4 linked regions of the Rattus norvegicus genome follow. The protein of the gene in region 1 purifies or fractionates together with the protein of each later gene. This does not show direct contact. Links are inferred from orthologs where the notes say so. Each region holds a gene or a part of one and is shown in the gene's direction. Other genes may lie near its edges.

Region 1 (4,329 bases):
GACGGCACCTGTGGGCATCAGAACTACAAAATAAAGTAGAGGGACAAGGTGGAAGCAGGAGATGCTGGGATTTCTTCTAGACATCCCGGAAGTCCTGAAGCCCCTGCTGGTGGTGATGGGGAGGGGCTGGTGGTGATGGGGACACTATTTTGGAGCACTGCTCCGAGACTAGGAGGATAATGGGCTCTGTGTGATACTGTAACCACAGGAATTCTTGGGATGATAACTGAACAGAGAGCTACAGGAAACACTTCCCACATACTGGTGAGAGAGATGCAGCCTGAACTCTCCGGCTGAAAGCAGCTCAGATGCTACTAGGATTGTGGTAGGGACTGCCACTTTATGTCCAACTCTCTATCTACTCTGAGGAACACATCTTTGGAAGGCTAATCCAGGCTTTAGTGGTAAGGCATACAGTTGGTAGACTACTTTAGAGTGGTGGGACCAGTCAGAGTTCACTCTCATTGGTGGCCTGCTATGTCTTGGCATCTTGTTTGTTTGTTGTTTTTGTTTTTCATGGCAGGGTTTCTCTGTGTAGCCCTGGTTCTCATGGAACTACTAGCTTCGTAGACCAGGTTGGCCTCCAACTAAGAGATCTTCCTGCCTCTGCCTCCAGAGTAATGAGATTAAACACTGGGCCCACCTTTCAACCCTGTTCTTAAAGGGGATTTTTTTTTCTTTAAAGACAGGGTCTTATTTTGTAGCTTAGGGTGGCCTGGGCATCTTCACAAGCTAATTTTATCCTTTCAGTAATATTCTTTAATATTATTATCCAAACTTTATGGTTCAGGAACCTAAGGCTGAGAAAATACAGCTTGAAATTAGTAACACTGACTCTAACAGAGATGCCTCCAACACCAAAGCTGAAGATGGGCTCCTTCGTCTGCCTGAAATCTAGCTAAAGGTTAAGAGTGTCTCACTAGCACCCTGGTTATGAAAGGCTGGCACATGTTACGTTTACTTTATATCCCCACTGCACCAAAGCAGTTCTCAGGGTGTGTCAATAACTGAGATTTACTGAATTGAAACAGAGAAGTAAGGCAGGGCAGGAGGCTTGCTTCCGTGGGCAGACAGCAGCAGCCTTAGTCGTTTGCACATGAAGCTGTAGCAAAATAAGAGTATAATACTCAGGAAATAAGGTAGATCAGACAAAATTAATTCATAATCGATGAAATCTTTCCCTTTTTAAAAGTGGGAATATTAAAAACAAAGCCCTGATAGTGTTATGTGTCTAATATCAACAACAGTCCTTTCTGAGGTTTTTTTTAAATAGCACCCTTTAAAATCAGGACGAAACAAAGTGATTTTTTTTTTTCCTTTAATATCAAGGCACGCAGCTTTGTTTGTAGTAGCAAAAAGCTTTTAAAAAATAACTGAACGGACATGGTTTCAATCGCAGGATTGATTTTGTAACACGTCTACTTTACTAGTGGAGATCAACTAAGGAGAAAGGACTTGGTAACCCGGGTAACGGCGTGGGGGAGGGGAGGACGGAACGCCGAACTCTCCGCCCTAGCCTGGGTAGAGCGGTGAGAACGCTTGAAGAGGTTTGGCTTATTGGACACACCGTAGACAGCGGTGCATGCTGGGCCTTGGTAATATGGCGTCCTCCTTGATGTGCTGATGAGAGGAGTTTTCACTGTGGCTCCAGAGCAGAGGGCAAAACTCCCCTGACCTAATAAGCCCAGTATTCCCGTGTGGTCCGCTGGCCCGTGTCGCGCGTGTATCAGGACTCGTTCCCGGGCAGGAGAGAGCCACGAAGCCGAAGGCCAGCACCGGCCAGGCCGCGCGGACCCGGGGCTGAGGAGCCGACTGCGGACGGGCACGATGGGCCGGTCCTGGCTCAGGTTGCAGCCCCTCAGGCGAGTGCGGGACCCGCAGGGCTGAGAGCCGCTGGACGAGCCCCGAAGCCCCCTGAGCGCGATCCCCTGACGCCTCAGCCGAGCCAGCGCAATCAGAGAACCCGCACTGCGAGCGGGACGGCCTGCCTGCCCTGGGATCCACTGAGGCGTTGGAGGCCGAGAGCAGGGTCATCCCCGGGCCTGAAGTCTTTCCCGCCTCTGACAGTCCGGCTTGCAGTCCTCCAGACGACCTCCTGGGCTGCGGGTGGCTTGCGACTGGGCGCGAGTGTCGGCGCAGCTCCTGGGGCTGCGGGGTTGGTTACCCACCGATTCTTCACCCCACCCCACCCCGCCCTCTCCGACTTCCCGCTCAGAGTTCGAGATAAAGATCTCCGAGTTTTTACCTGAATAAGGACCTTCGTGCACTCTGCCGTCATCTCTATTCCCAACTTCCCGCTTTCCTGTATTTCCTTTTACCAGTTCTGGTACACACTAGTTTTTAAGGCTGGAGGTTCTCGAGCGCTTGCTGCCAAGGACTCCCCCTCCCCCTCCTCCCCTGATGGAGTCGGAGATGCTGCAGTCGCCTCTTATGGGACTCGGGGAGGAAGATGAGGCAGACCTTACAGATTGGAACTTGCCTTTGGCGTTTATGAAAAAGAGACATTGTGAGAAAATTGAAGGCTCCAAATCTTTAGCACAGAGCTGGAGAATGAAGGATCGGGTAAGTAGATTCTCATGGCATCTTTTTGAGTTCATAGTTTTCCAACTAAGAAAGTTCTGAGCAAGAACAGCCTCTCCTAGAAGAATGCTGGTATTTTGAAGCCACATGTTGCACGTTAATTAAAAACTAAAAGTTATTCCAGACTCTGGTTTTGGTTGAAAGTGGGTAGGGCTAGTCGATACTCACTGGGTAGTGTTAATTCAAAAGAGTTTTAATTCAGAGGGTGGAAAAAGCAAATTAGGAACTGTTGTTCCACAGATATTTATGTGCCTTTTAATACACTTAGTAGCATTTAGAGAAAAGACAATTTTGGAAATAACACTTAACGTCGTGCTTAGTCTATTTTTGTATCTGCTGTTTTTTTGTTTTTTGTTTTTTTTTTTTTCCAAATAACCAGGTTGAAGTACAGGTGTCTGGTACAGTATGTTGGGAAACGATTACTTGAAATGTTTAGCCAATAACAAATTAAGGCAAAGTTATTTTAAAGTTGCAGCAAGTTTCATCCCAGTCCTTTGAACATCTTCCGTGGGAGGCTGACTCCCCTAGTATGTGACTTCTGGTCGCTGTAACCTGGAGATATTTCCTCAGTGGGAAATTTGGGAGCATGGGGTATGATGGGTTGGAACCTGGGTTCAGGTTTTAGGCCGTTCTCCTGCCGGTGGAGTGTCATGAGTAGTTGTAGCAAAGAAAACAGCCAGATGTAGCGGTCAGTTCCTGATCTAGCAAAAGGGGAGTACTGTCTCTTGTCTGCACACTCATCCTTTGAGTGCTTAGTTGTTTTCTCCTTCCTGACTTTGTACATTTGTGTGAACTTTTCAGTATAAAAGAGGAAGTTGGTGTTATAATGTGTCATTTGTTATAGTTGATATGCTTTTACTTGAGACAGTTGTTTTAAAAAGGTGTATATTGATGAATACTCAATGTAGTTCTAGCAGGGACCAGTGTTTCAGTTTGGGTAAATTTTACAAGGCTATCAATTTTTGTTGCTGATGTTGTTGTTGTTTGAGACAGGGTTTCTCTGTAACATCCCTGGCTGTCGAGAAACTCAATCTGTAGACTAGGTTGGCCTTGAACTCAGAGATCTGCCTGCCTTTGCCTACTGAGTGCTGGGATTAAAGTTATGAAAATTTCCTTCAGTGAAAAGCAGTTTAGGTTGGGCAAAGGTCAGTCAGTCCTGTAATCCCAACACTCTGGAGCTTAAAGCAGGAGAATCACAAGTCAAGGCCAGCCTGGACTACAAAGTGCAGACCCTGTCTTAAACAAGAAGAATAGAAGCAATATAAGTTATAGAACTGATGGTTGAGAGAGACTGCATAATGTCTGTTTTATAGACATGTCTAGTACTAACAAAATAACATTTTCTTTTTGGTTGTAATGTTTATATATAGCAACTCTCTCCCTTTCCCCCCTCCCCAGTCCTATTTTGTCCAGTTTTTATTTAAAATTTTTTTTTCCTCCTTTTGAATGTGGTTCCTTTTTTTTTTTTTTTTCTTTTTTTCGGAGCTGGGGACTGAACCCAGAATGTGGTTCCTTTTGCTATCCAAACCTGTACTCAAACTATTGAAATCACATCAATGGATATCTTTTGAACTTTTAATTTAAAATGTTTCTCTCTTTGGAGACAGGGCTTTATGTAGTGCAGGCCAGCTTGGTGTTTAGTCAGAATGGCCTTGGCCTGGTTCATCCACCTCCCAAGTGTTAGGATTACAGATGTGTACCACTGTATCTACCTCTAAATGGTCCTAGGGGCCACACTCAGAGTTCGTG
Region 2 (4,268 bases), about 70 Mb from region 1:
CTGGGATTACAGATGTGTGTCATCATGCTAGCTAACAGGTCACTTTTGCCACAGAAAGCAGCATTTCCTGGTTTTGGCCTTCGTGCTGAGGGTTGAACCTAAGATGTGACATATACCAGGCAGGTACTCTGTCACTGAGCACCAAATCCTTATGCACCAAATCCCCATTAGTGGTGTCCCCCTGGGTATATCCATGCTAAGCTAAATCCTCATGAACTGTGTCCCTACTAAGCTAAAATCCCCCTGGGTATATCCATGCTAAGCTAAATTCCCATGACCTGTATCCCTACTAAGCTAAATCTCCCTGAGTATATCCATGCTAAGCTAAATCCCCATGAGTTGTATCCTAACTAAACTGCATAGACAGCCTCTTTATTTTGCCCCCCCCCCCCCTTTTTTTGAGAGGCTTCTTGTAGCCAAGGCTGGCTTTGAACTCCGGAACCTCTGGCCTCCCAAGTACTCAGATCACTTTCTAGTTTGAAACAGCTTCACCAAGCTGCTCAGGCAGACCCTGAACTTGGTATTCTCTTGCCTCAGCATCTCAAACAGCTGGGATAACAAGTCTGTGTCACAGGACTGGCTAAAGCCTGTATTTTAGTTCCTAGTTGGAGGGCAAGTGGTCTGATTCCTTTGTGCTCTTTGAAGCCACTAAGGCCTGAGATACATGCTCCTTCCCCTCCGCCCTTAGAGCCTGTGTGCTGTGGTGTGTGTGTGTGTGTGTGTGTGTGTGTGTGTGTGTGTATTATGTGGGTTGTTGTGAGGAATCTCAGTCTTAGTAGTGGTGACTATTGCAGTTTCTGGAGCCCTGGCTACCCCTCCTACAGGGTGGGTTTGTGAGAAGTCACCAGTGCTAGTCCAACATCCAGTCTTTGTCAAATTGGATCAGGCCTAACATATGGATGATGTCCCTTTATTCAGTGAGGGGCTGGTCATGGTGGATGCCTGAAGAGAGAGTAGGGTGGAGGGCTACTACGGGGGACACTAAGTTTGGGAGGGTTGGAACAGTATCCCGTGAAACAGCTTGTTTGGCCAAGGAATGGCTACCTGACAGTAGGCATCTGTGTCGTCTGAGCCTCTGTGCTGGGGCATCCATCCCCCTTGGCTTGGGGACTACACTGCTGAGTCATAAGCAGGCCCAAACCTGGGAGGAGCCTAGGCTCGGATACTTACCGGCCCTTTTCCCATCGAACTGAGACTGAGGCTGGTCTCTTGGGGTCACCCATGCATTCGGAGGGAAAGAAAAAGAGGAGGCGGTGGGGGCGTCTCGCCCCCATACCTGTCAGGGGTCCTATCAAGGGCCCTCGAGCGGCCGCCCGGACAGCGGGGAGGGGCGGAGCTCAGAGAGGTTCCGCCCCCCACGAGGCGGGGCTCCCCCCGTATCCTATAAAAGCTGGGCTCTCGGAGCCGCCGCTGCCCAGCTGTTTCCTCCGTACCTAGTCTGCGGTTATGGCTTCGCTCACGGTGAAGGCCTATCTACTGGGCAAGGAGGAGGCGGCCCGCGAGATCCGCCGCTTCAGCTTCTGCTTCAGCCCGGAGCCGGAGGCGGAAGCCGCGGCTGGCCCGGGGCCCTGCGAGAGGCTGCTGAGCCGGGTGGCTGTGCTGTTCCCCGCGCTGCGGCCTGGAGGCTTTCAGGCGCACTACCGCGGTAAGGGCTCGGGGCGGGGAAGCCATCCTCCCCCGCCGCGGAGTATCAGGTCTGGGCGAGGACGCGATGGCGTGTCCTCTGGCTGCCCGCGGGGACAGGGTGGTCAGGCGGCCGCTCAGGTTACAGCTGACATCCCGCGGTTCGCTTGCTCCTCGTATCATCAGGTGATGGGTTCAGTTAAAGGCCCGGAAGAGCTGGGACCGGGCAGATGTGGAGGAGGGGTGGAGAGCAGTGACGCGGGTAAATAAGCGGCGGGGGCGGGGTGGGGCAGCCCGTGGGAAGGGAGGTAGGGGACCCCGGAACTAGCTCCGTCTCTTGCGTTGCAGTGGTTGATGGCTGCATGGGGTGGAGCTAGAAGTTGTTGACAAGAGACTAGTGGACAAGGCCCTCCCCCTGGGAGGGGATAAGATTGAGATCTCTTTATGGAGGACTGTGGGTAGGCCAGGTTGGTTGATCAGTCTGTCTCTTTTCTGAGATAAAGCCACGTAGCCTGATTCGCCTTGAATTTACGAGTGGTTTAGGCTGGCCTCACTTCAATCCTCTTGTCTCAGCTTTCCAGTGCAGGAATCATAGGGATTATTCTGGACAAAAAATGTTCAGTGTAAGTGAGTTTTAACCTAGGTCCAGTACAATTCACCCAGGTCTTAATGTCCTTCCGAGTCATCTTTGTGCTAGGGCCTCATGTATGTTAGGCTCTCGACTGACTGAGCTACCACCCCGCCCCCCAAACTCCTTGCATTTTTTAAAAAGTGAGTTATATAACTATTATCACATTCGGTTTAGAATCTTTTTTTTTTTTATAAATTTTACGTGTGTGTGTGTATAGCCTAGCCTGATACACACACACACACACACACACACACACACATATATGTATATATATATATATATCCTAGCCTGCAGATGTGTGGTTTGTCCTGTATGAGGTGGTTGAAGACTGTTTGTACTGACATAGAAATATATGGCTGCGCTCCCAGTACCTGTGTGCTAATGTAAAAATGAAAGCAGATGGGTTTGAGAAATGACTCAGTGGTTAAAGCCTTTGCTGCTCTTCCAGAGGACCCAAGTTCTGTTCCTAGCGCTCATATCAACTGCAGCTCCTGGGGATCCCACACCCTCTTATGGCCTTCGTGGCACATGCATACACATAAGTGTGCATGTGTGTATGTGTGTGTGTGTGTCTGTGTGTTCAAGTGCGTACATACATATGTAAAAGTAAATATCAAAAGGCAAAAAAGAAAAAAAACCCAAAAAAACCCAAACCACTTGGCAGCTTGGTTGCATATGTTTGTGATCCCAGCACTAAGGAGGCTCACCTACACAAGTTGGAGGCTGTCCTGTTCTAAGCAGTCTCAGGCCAGGCAGGGCGCAGAAAACCTAGAATTGACAAAAACAAAACCAACAGAGCAACCTCAACCTCAGAACAACTTAGACAGCGTCTGAATGCACAGTGGTTTCTGGTCACGTAGTTGAAGGGAGGGGACAGATGGGCTTACCTCCTTTCCTTCTGAAGCCTGAGGCCTTTGAAGGGCTGGACCATCAGGACAGGGTACTGGCTGGAATCTCCCAGGTGAAAATGGACCTGGCCTACTTACGTGTGGCCTGAGGGCACAAATGGCCCAGTGGTTTGTGGCAGGAAGCTGGACCCTTACACACATGACATATGCTCTGCCTTGTGCATGTACCGGATCTAGGACTTGGGTTAGAACATGTACTCACGCCATATCAGAATGAGTGGCCATCTGGCTGCTTGCTCCAGCACTCAGATTGCGTCTAGAGCCTCTGTAGATGTCCCTTACCATTGGGCTCCCTGTACATAGCAGTGGGCATCCAGCAGATGCTGGGTACCTGTGCTGCCCTTTCGGCTTCTAGTTCTGGGAATGGCACCTAAGTCTTCTGCACGCTCCACCAATGAGCTGTGTCCCTGGCTCTGATATGTTGTTTCCTAAACAATCTAGATGAGGATGGGGACTTGGTCGCCTTCTCCAGTGATGAGGAACTGACAATGGCCATGTCCTATGTGAAAGATGACATCTTCCGCATCTACATTAAAGGTAAAGACTGCATCCAGGTACTTCCCATCGGACTTCCTCTAAGGCTCAGGGGTCTGAGTTGTCTCTAGGACAGAGATGAGTTCTGATGCCTTGGGGTGGATATAGGGGGGTTGGGAGGTGTCAGAGGTACAAAGGTCCTGCTGTGTGGGCCATGGGTGTTGAACAGAGCAGGGCTTGGTACCTCTTGGCCTCCTAAGTGGTTTACCTGCAACTAAATTGGACTCTTGGACTCTCCCTGCAGAGAAGAAGGAGTGCCGGCGGGAACATCGCCCCCCATGTGCTCAGGAGGCACGAAGCATGGTGCACCCCAACGTGATTTGTGATGGTTGCAATGGGCCTGTGGTGGGAACTCGCTATAAGTGCAGTGTGTGCCCCGACTACGACCTGTGCAGCGTCTGCGAGGGGAAGGGCCTGCACAGGGAGCACAGCAAGCTCATCTTTCCCAACCCCTTTGGCCACCTCTCTGATGTGAGCTGGTTCTCTGCAGTCCTGGGGCGGTGTCGGACAGGGTGGTGGGAGCTGGAAACCCTGACCCCTCACTGCCCTGCCTTGCTTTCTCCTCCTACCCA
Region 3 (3,315 bases), about 91 Mb from region 1:
GCCCCGACTCCACGTGCGTGTAGCGCCCCGGGGGAAGGGAACCTGTAAGCTGGGGCATGACCTGGCGCGCGCTAAGTCGATACGGGGTGGTAGTGGCCACTGAGACGCCCCATGTCCAACTCCAGGTTACTTGCGACCTGTTCGGCTGACCAGACGTGTAAAATCTGGAGGACATCCAACTTCTCCCTGATGACAGAACTCAGCATCAAGAGTAGTAACCCCGGAGAGTCATCCCGTGGCTGGATGTGGGGCTGCGCCTTCTCAGGGGATTCCCAGTATATCGTCACAGGTAAGCCCTGCCCTCCTCTCCCCCACACACTGCCAAGTCCGCCAGAGAGGCCACTCATAGCTGCTACCTCACTTCTGCCTGATCTCTCCTTGCAGCTTCTTCAGACAACCTGGCCCGGCTCTGGTGTGTAGAGACTGGAGAGATCAAGAGAGAGTATGGTGGCCATCAGAAAGCTGTCGTCTGCTTGGCCTTCAACGACAGCGTGCTGGGCTAGCCCCTGCCCCTTGAGGGCTGCACTGGGCAACCAGGACTGCCTGGTCTAGTGGCTCTAAGAGGATGTACCTGAACAATACCCTGCTCCAAGTGAGACTCAGGTCAGCCTCTGCATATCAGGCCAGTGGGACCTGACCCGACTACCCTCGGCCCCTCTTGGCCAACCTAGACTTTTTGGCTACTCTACCCTGGGACTTTCTCCGTGCCCAGATCTGTTGTCAGAAAGCTCACAAAGCCAGGCTGCATGTGCCTGGATTGGGAGTCTTCTCCCTTTAGAGAGACCAGACCTAGAGTGCTTGGAACTGTTGAGGACATCGGAGGTTGATGCCTGTATCCCAGGTATGTTACCCCCGCTTGCTTCAGAAATTACCACCATGGCCAGGCAATCTGGGTTTATTCATCCCTACCGTCAGCTGCCTTCCAAAGGTACTGGTGACCTGGCAGCTGGCTGACCTGTGGGAGCAAAGGTCGGGAGGACTTGGTAGGGGGTCTTAGTCTGGGAGGTAATAAAAGCAGACAGACACGCAGATGTTGCTCGGGAAGCAGATGTCAATGCAGAGGTAGATCAGCCGCTGTCTCTGGGGCCCTGAGGAGAAGGGAACTTCATGAATCCCAAGGGCCCCCTAACCAGTATTGTTCTGCAGGAGCCATAGGCCTCTTCACCCAGCCTACCCCAACTTACCCTCTGCCCACCGGGCCCAGTAGATAGGAGTGTCTGCACAAAGGTGTTGCACTGAAGCTCCCACTTGGGTAGGGTCCACAGCATGGCCTCCCAAAACTGCCAGCAGTTCCTGGGCATAGTGGGTGTCCTGGCCAGGTACATGTGACTCTTGGGCCTGCAGAAAGACTCTGGTGGGTCATGGTATAGTACTTCCTTGCTCCTGGCTGGGTAGGGCATTCATGCCCACCCCAGCCTGATGGCCCTTCCACCTGCCCTTGTCAACAGCCTTCGTCAGGGGAAGATAGAGCTTTCTGTTCCCCTGAAACCAGAGCCTTGGCTGGCCCAGCTGGGCTGTACAGAGGACCTTTTGTTTATGCCCTGGCCTTGGGGGTTTGTGGGTGGCAAGCCAAGTAGTACTGCTCACCCTGGAAGTGTTCAGCAGCAGCTGCAGGGTCTCCCAATCTTGGGCTTCCATCAGACGGAGGAAGCAGGCCTGGTGCTCTGCAGGGCGGTAACAGATGTAGCCCTGGAGGAGCAGATAGGTAAGTGGAGGCCACTCCTGACACCTTCATTCTCTCCCCCTCCCAAGCCCACTCACACTTTGCCCGTCGAAGAGCACAGCCCAGCTGTGGTTGCTCTGAAACGGAGTCACCATGATGGTCGCCATGTTCTGGGCCACATCCACTAGAGTGGTTTGATTGGGCCAGGGTACCCGGGAGCTCAGGAAGGTCTTTCGGAGCATCTGCAGCAATGGCTAAGGGGTATTTGGGATTCAGCCTTAACCTATGTTTCCATATCCTCTGGCTCCATGCGAGAGCTGACAGGTACTGGCCTTCCTGCCCTCTTTCCACTCTGCATACCCTGGAAGAGGTGCTTACCTTGGAAGGGCTGTATGTGAAACCAAGAAGCCCTCCAGCCACGGCCCCTGCAGTGAGCAGTGTCAGCATCAGCAGCAAGCCTGCTGCTCTCCAGCCCCTGTAGCAGGGTTTGGTCTTCACCTGAGGGCACAGTACTAGCTGTGGGGCTTCGGGCTTAGAGACTCGGGAGCCGACTTGCTCAGGGAAAGGGCTGAGGATGGTAGGTGGTGACTCCTGTCTCCTCCTATGGCATCCCTGAGTTCTTGTCTTGGGGGTGGTAGAGACTTACCTCAACAGGCTTGGACCTGAGGCTCTCAGTGAGGATGTGCCCCTGCTTCATGCTGCAGCCCCTGCTGACAATGCACTGATTGTCTGCAGCCCCTTGGAGGAGTCAGCCAGGGAAACCTCAGGATGCCTTTGATGAATCGAACTGTATCCTCCCCTCCCAACCCCACCGCTTCCTTCCCAGCCAGTATCTGATAGCCTGCCTCAGAGCCAGGACAACCCTCTCCCCCACTTGTGATTGCTGGTTACCAGGTTTGTCCCTGGACTCTTGGCCTGTGCAGAACATGGGATTTTGGAGTGTGTGTGAGCTGGCCTTGATGTTAGAATTGGCTAGGTCTTGGCCAGGGTGACTTTTGTCTGGTTGGGCAGATTTTTTTCTTGGTGTGTTACCTCTGGACTCCTGAGCTAGACACAGGAACCATCAATAAATGTGTATGAACCATCAGTATGAGGCTAATTGCTTTGTCTTTTTCTTTTTTCTGGAGCTGAGGACCGAACCCAGGGCCTCGCGCTTGCTAGGCAAGCGCTCTACCACTGAGCTAAATCCCCAACCTCGACTAATTACTTTCTTAACTTCCCTCACAAACTCCTCAGCTTCTTTCAAGACCCCATTAGCATCAGATGGGGCTGTTGGATTTTTCCATGTGCATGACTGCTTCAGCTTGTTTCACATTAAGTGTGGTTAGGCCAGTCTCTGTTCCCTGGCATGTTTTCTAATCTAGCACTCTTGTCTTGGCCCCTTATCTGTCTAGCTATGTGACATGGTGGTTCAATGTACGTATGTCCACAGTACTTTACCCAATGGCTTTACGCCATGTACTTCCTGTTTCTTTAGAACCTGTTCCTTATAGGCAGGGTGGGGCTACAGTGGCCATGTCCACTGTGAATGATTTTGGGAGTTGGAATCCCAGCCGCCTGCCTTGCTCCCACCCATATAGACAGCTGCTACTCGAAGAAATTAGAGGAAGGCAGACCTAATCATTGTGGGTTTGAGTTTAATGTGCATTTGA
Region 4 (3,307 bases), on another chromosome or scaffold:
TCTGGTGGCACAGCTCCGAGCTGCTCACAGTGAAGGCCGTATAACTGCTGGACTGGGTAAGAAATCAAATGGACTTCTGCATATTTGGACTTTATACATATGCATTTCTATTGACACACACACACACACACACACACACACACACACACACGATGCACTTTGGTCATATCCCCTTCCCTTTGTTCTCATAACACCTTTCTCCATCACTGAACCCTTTGTTTCCAGATCCCTCTCCTGCTCACATGGGCGGAAGGTTATTTACTTGGATAAAGGTGCCTTCTCAAGGCTGTACCCTGAGGAATATGACTCATCCTTCCCCAGCAGCCATAGTAGCTTGTCAGTGAGGATGGGCCTGTAGGAGCCCCTTTCTTCTCAATGATAGATGGAATGTTAATGGGCCTCTCAGGTCCAGAAGGTAGCACTCCAGAGCATCCTCCTCCTCCAACTCTTTGTTCCTTCTACCCTACACTGCAGTGTTCTCAGAGACCTGTTGAGGGCCGAGCACTCAGGCATTTGTTTCCTGTACTTTCCCCAGTCACAAGGCTCCCCACGGACTCTGTCTGCTGCAGCTTCTCTGAGCAAGGCAGCCCCACTCTGAGCATATGAACCTAGCCCTCTAGACCTGCAGCTCTGCTGCCAGGCTTAACAGTTGTTCTTGCCATGGTTTTTAATAGTGCTTTTATAGATGACCTAGTTAAATCAGGCACTTAGGTGCAGTAACAGCTTTAGTTTTATTACAAATCATCAGGTAAGATGTTTTAATGCCTTTTGTTATTACTTTAATAACTGCCTTTTCAGATATGAAGGAAGGCAGCATTGGTGATATGGCAGTACTGGGTATAACCGAGAGCTTTCAAGTGAAGCGGCAGGTTCTTTTGAGTGCGGCGGAAGCAGCAGAGGTGATTCTACGAGTGGACAACATCATCAAAGCGGCACCAAGGTACTAGAGCGCTTGCACTCCTGGGACAGTGTACTGAGACAGAGTCCAGGGAGCTTGATAGTTGTATTTAACGGGACAGTTATTTTAGTAGACTGTTACATAAGCTATCTAAAATATGTAGTCATAGTTCTTAAGATTAGAAAGGCTTAGGAAGAAAGTGGTTTGGGTAGCCAGGGGCCCACTCATCTTGGAAGGACTAAAGAGCCAGGCTTATGAAAGTCAAGGATCAGGGAGCTGTGAGTGTCTGAGCTTCAAGCACTAAGACGGCAGGTGCCCTACACATGCATGGCTCATAAACATTCTCAAGTACCCATTGACAAGTCCTTTCCAGGTTCATATTGTAGAAAGTAACTAAGTTCTCTTTAAAATGCTGTCACACAGAAGTGGTTAAATTAAGTGCATCCGTCTGCTTCATGTTGCTGTGTCAAATTGTGACGACGGAAGGATTTATTTGGGTTCACAGATTTAGATGTTTCAGTTCCTACTGCCTTGGGGTAGAATAGTTGCCACTGAGGAAAAGGAAAAGAGTGTGCCCAGGATGCCAAGTGAAAAGAAGGTGGCGACAGTTTACTTAGAACCTGGGCCTTAGCAACATTGGTTTGACATGCAGTGTTAGTGGAGTGGTGGGGATAAACTTAATCCTATAGAAGGTTCAAAAAAGAAAACTCAAAGTACAGTCTCCCTCAGAAAGGGGAAATTGAAGTGCAGGTTGCAGTTTTGAAGTGTTCTGTAAGTGAACAGAGAAGCTGCCATTAAAGGAAGCCCAAATATCTTAAGTGGAAGATTGTTAGATGCAAGTTTAAAATTCTTTAACTTTGAAACTTCGGAGAGTTCCTGGGGGTGCTCGCTAATTGTCCCAGAATCTCACATATGTGGATTTTTAAAATTCTCACTTTTTCTCACACTGTATAATTCGAAAATGTTTAAAAGCATTTTAAAACAAATATAAAGTTAAAATTTCACTGATATGCCTGCCGTCCCTTTGCAACAGTTCGTTATGTCTCCGTCACTGTGCGTGCGGTCACTGGAGAATTAGGCATGAGGGATGATTATGGCACAGTGTGTTCTCTGCTCTAGCGGATCTGTGGGCAGTCCTGTGCTCCTGAGTAGATTGTCGTCCAGGACCCCTGTGTCGTTGTTTGGCTTTGATTTGATGTATCTGTCTGATGAATTTGGTAAACTTTCCTAATCCTGACATTCAAAAACATGAAGTAAGCCAAGTATAGTAGTATATTCCTTAGAAACTGAGACAGAAGGATTGCAAGTTCAAGTCTAGTCTTAGGGTATATAGTAAAGCAAAAACCAGGTTAGCCTTTTGGGGGAGGTATATTGTTTAGTAAGTAGGTTGTTTGGGTCAGACACAGAACTGTTGGGTACAGGCCTACATGATGCATGAGTTTTCCTGTGTCCTCTTAAAGTGTGACTGATTGAGTGGTGTTACGTCCTTATGGGAAGTGGACCCACAGTGACTTTAGTGAGACAAAGGTTCTTGTATTTGTAGTCATTGAGAATCTAGTTGAAATCAGACTTCTCATTTTTTTACTTTTTGTTAATGTGATTTTTTTTCTTATAGGAAACGTGTCCCTGATCACCACCCCTGTTAAGCATTCCCATTTGCTGTTGAACTCTGGACCAGTTCATAGCAAAGCTGTATTTGAAAGACTTCACCCTTTAAAGAAGACTATGGAATTGCTGTGTCCATGACAGCCTTAAGTTTGAACATTTAGCTGACCTTCTGTGTTAAACATGGGTCTAATTTATTTGCTATTTCATTTTCCATACAGTTCAGTTGATTTACAGGTTCATTTCTCATACTGTGTATTAAAATAAAAAATCAGTTACTTAGTCCTTAATGTCTTAGTGATCTGTATATATCATATCCTATTTGAAATCTACTTATGGAAGCAATCATTCCTCGGTGAAGAGTTGTTTCAGCCTAATCAATTCCTGACTTTATCCTTTTATAAAGTAATTGATTATGCATACACACACACTCAGTCATGCATAGCTTTTACTGAACATTAATTTAGAGTAGAAGTACCATAAGGTACAGTTCTGATTTAGTTTAATATAAGTGCCCTTTCTTATTTACGTTAGACAACACTGTTCAAGTTTGGAAAAGTGACATTTAACTGTCCACCTCTCTCTGGTGCCTTAAGAAGATAACTTCTTCCTAAGATAGTGCGTTTGTTTAGATGATAGTATGACTGTTTTGTTAGGTAGAGAACTGAAATGTATTGGGCTTAATTTACACTTGACATAGATGCGAAAGTTAATCAGAATATTGCAGAGTGCACAGAATTGAAGATTGCCGAAAAGCTTAGATTTACTGGCTGCCAGAGCATCAGGGTGCCCTCAGGGAAAGGG

What was found.
Region 2: the proteins of Rptor (region 1) and Sqstm1 purify together in Homo sapiens (affinity purification with western blotting; 3 studies listed by BioGRID). This does not show direct contact. The link is inferred for Rattus norvegicus from reciprocal best matches to the Homo sapiens genes RPTOR and SQSTM1.
Region 3: the proteins of Rptor (region 1) and Mlst8 purify together in Homo sapiens (affinity purification with western blotting; 15 studies listed by BioGRID and IntAct, with this or other methods). This does not show direct contact. The link is inferred for Rattus norvegicus from reciprocal best matches to the Homo sapiens genes RPTOR and MLST8.
Region 4: the proteins of Rptor (region 1) and Cct2 purify together in Homo sapiens (affinity purification with mass spectrometry; 3 studies listed by BioGRID and IntAct, with this or other methods). This does not show direct contact. The link is inferred for Rattus norvegicus from reciprocal best matches to the Homo sapiens genes RPTOR and CCT2.

The regions. Positions count from the first base shown.
Region 1 is NC_086028.1:105,375,456-105,379,784, forward strand, and holds the start of Rptor (regulatory-associated protein of mTOR), read left to right. Parts: upstream 1-1,487; 5' UTR 1,488-2,400; coding exon 2,401-2,562; intron 2,563-4,329. UniProt on the Homo sapiens protein: Component of the mechanistic target of rapamycin complex 1 (mTORC1), an evolutionarily conserved central nutrient sensor that stimulates anabolic reactions and macromolecule biosynthesis to promote cellular biomass generation and growth.
Region 2 is NC_086028.1:35,034,895-35,039,162, reverse strand, and holds the start of Sqstm1 (sequestosome-1), read left to right. Parts: upstream 1-1,412; 5' UTR 1,413-1,446; coding exon 1,447-1,645; intron 1,646-3,603; coding exon 3,604-3,699; intron 3,700-3,940; coding exon 3,941-4,167; intron 4,168-4,268. UniProt on the Homo sapiens protein: Molecular adapter required for selective macroautophagy (aggrephagy) by acting as a bridge between polyubiquitinated proteins and autophagosomes.
Region 3 is NC_086028.1:14,002,374-14,005,688, reverse strand, and holds the end of Mlst8 (target of rapamycin complex subunit LST8), read left to right. Parts: coding exon 1-13; intron 14-125; coding exon 126-289; intron 290-384; coding exon 385-503; 3' UTR 504-993; coding exon of another isoform or gene 994-1,088; 3' UTR 1,089-1,184; coding exon of another isoform or gene 1,185-1,338; 3' UTR 1,339-1,587; coding exon of another isoform or gene 1,588-1,689; 3' UTR 1,690-1,761; coding exon of another isoform or gene 1,762-1,917; 3' UTR 1,918-2,041; coding exon of another isoform or gene 2,042-2,110; 3' UTR 2,111-2,762; downstream 2,763-3,315. Other genes in the region: Bricd5 (BRICHOS domain-containing protein 5), read right to left, coding at 994-1,088, 1,185-1,338, 1,588-1,689, 1,762-1,917, 2,042-2,110.
Region 4 is NC_086025.1:54,578,140-54,581,446, reverse strand, and holds the end of Cct2 (T-complex protein 1 subunit beta), read left to right. Parts: coding exon 1-56; intron 57-798; coding exon 799-940; intron 941-2,513; coding exon 2,514-2,544; 3' UTR 2,545-2,785; downstream 2,786-3,307. UniProt on the Homo sapiens protein: Component of the chaperonin-containing T-complex (TRiC), a molecular chaperone complex that assists the folding of actin, tubulin and other proteins upon ATP hydrolysis.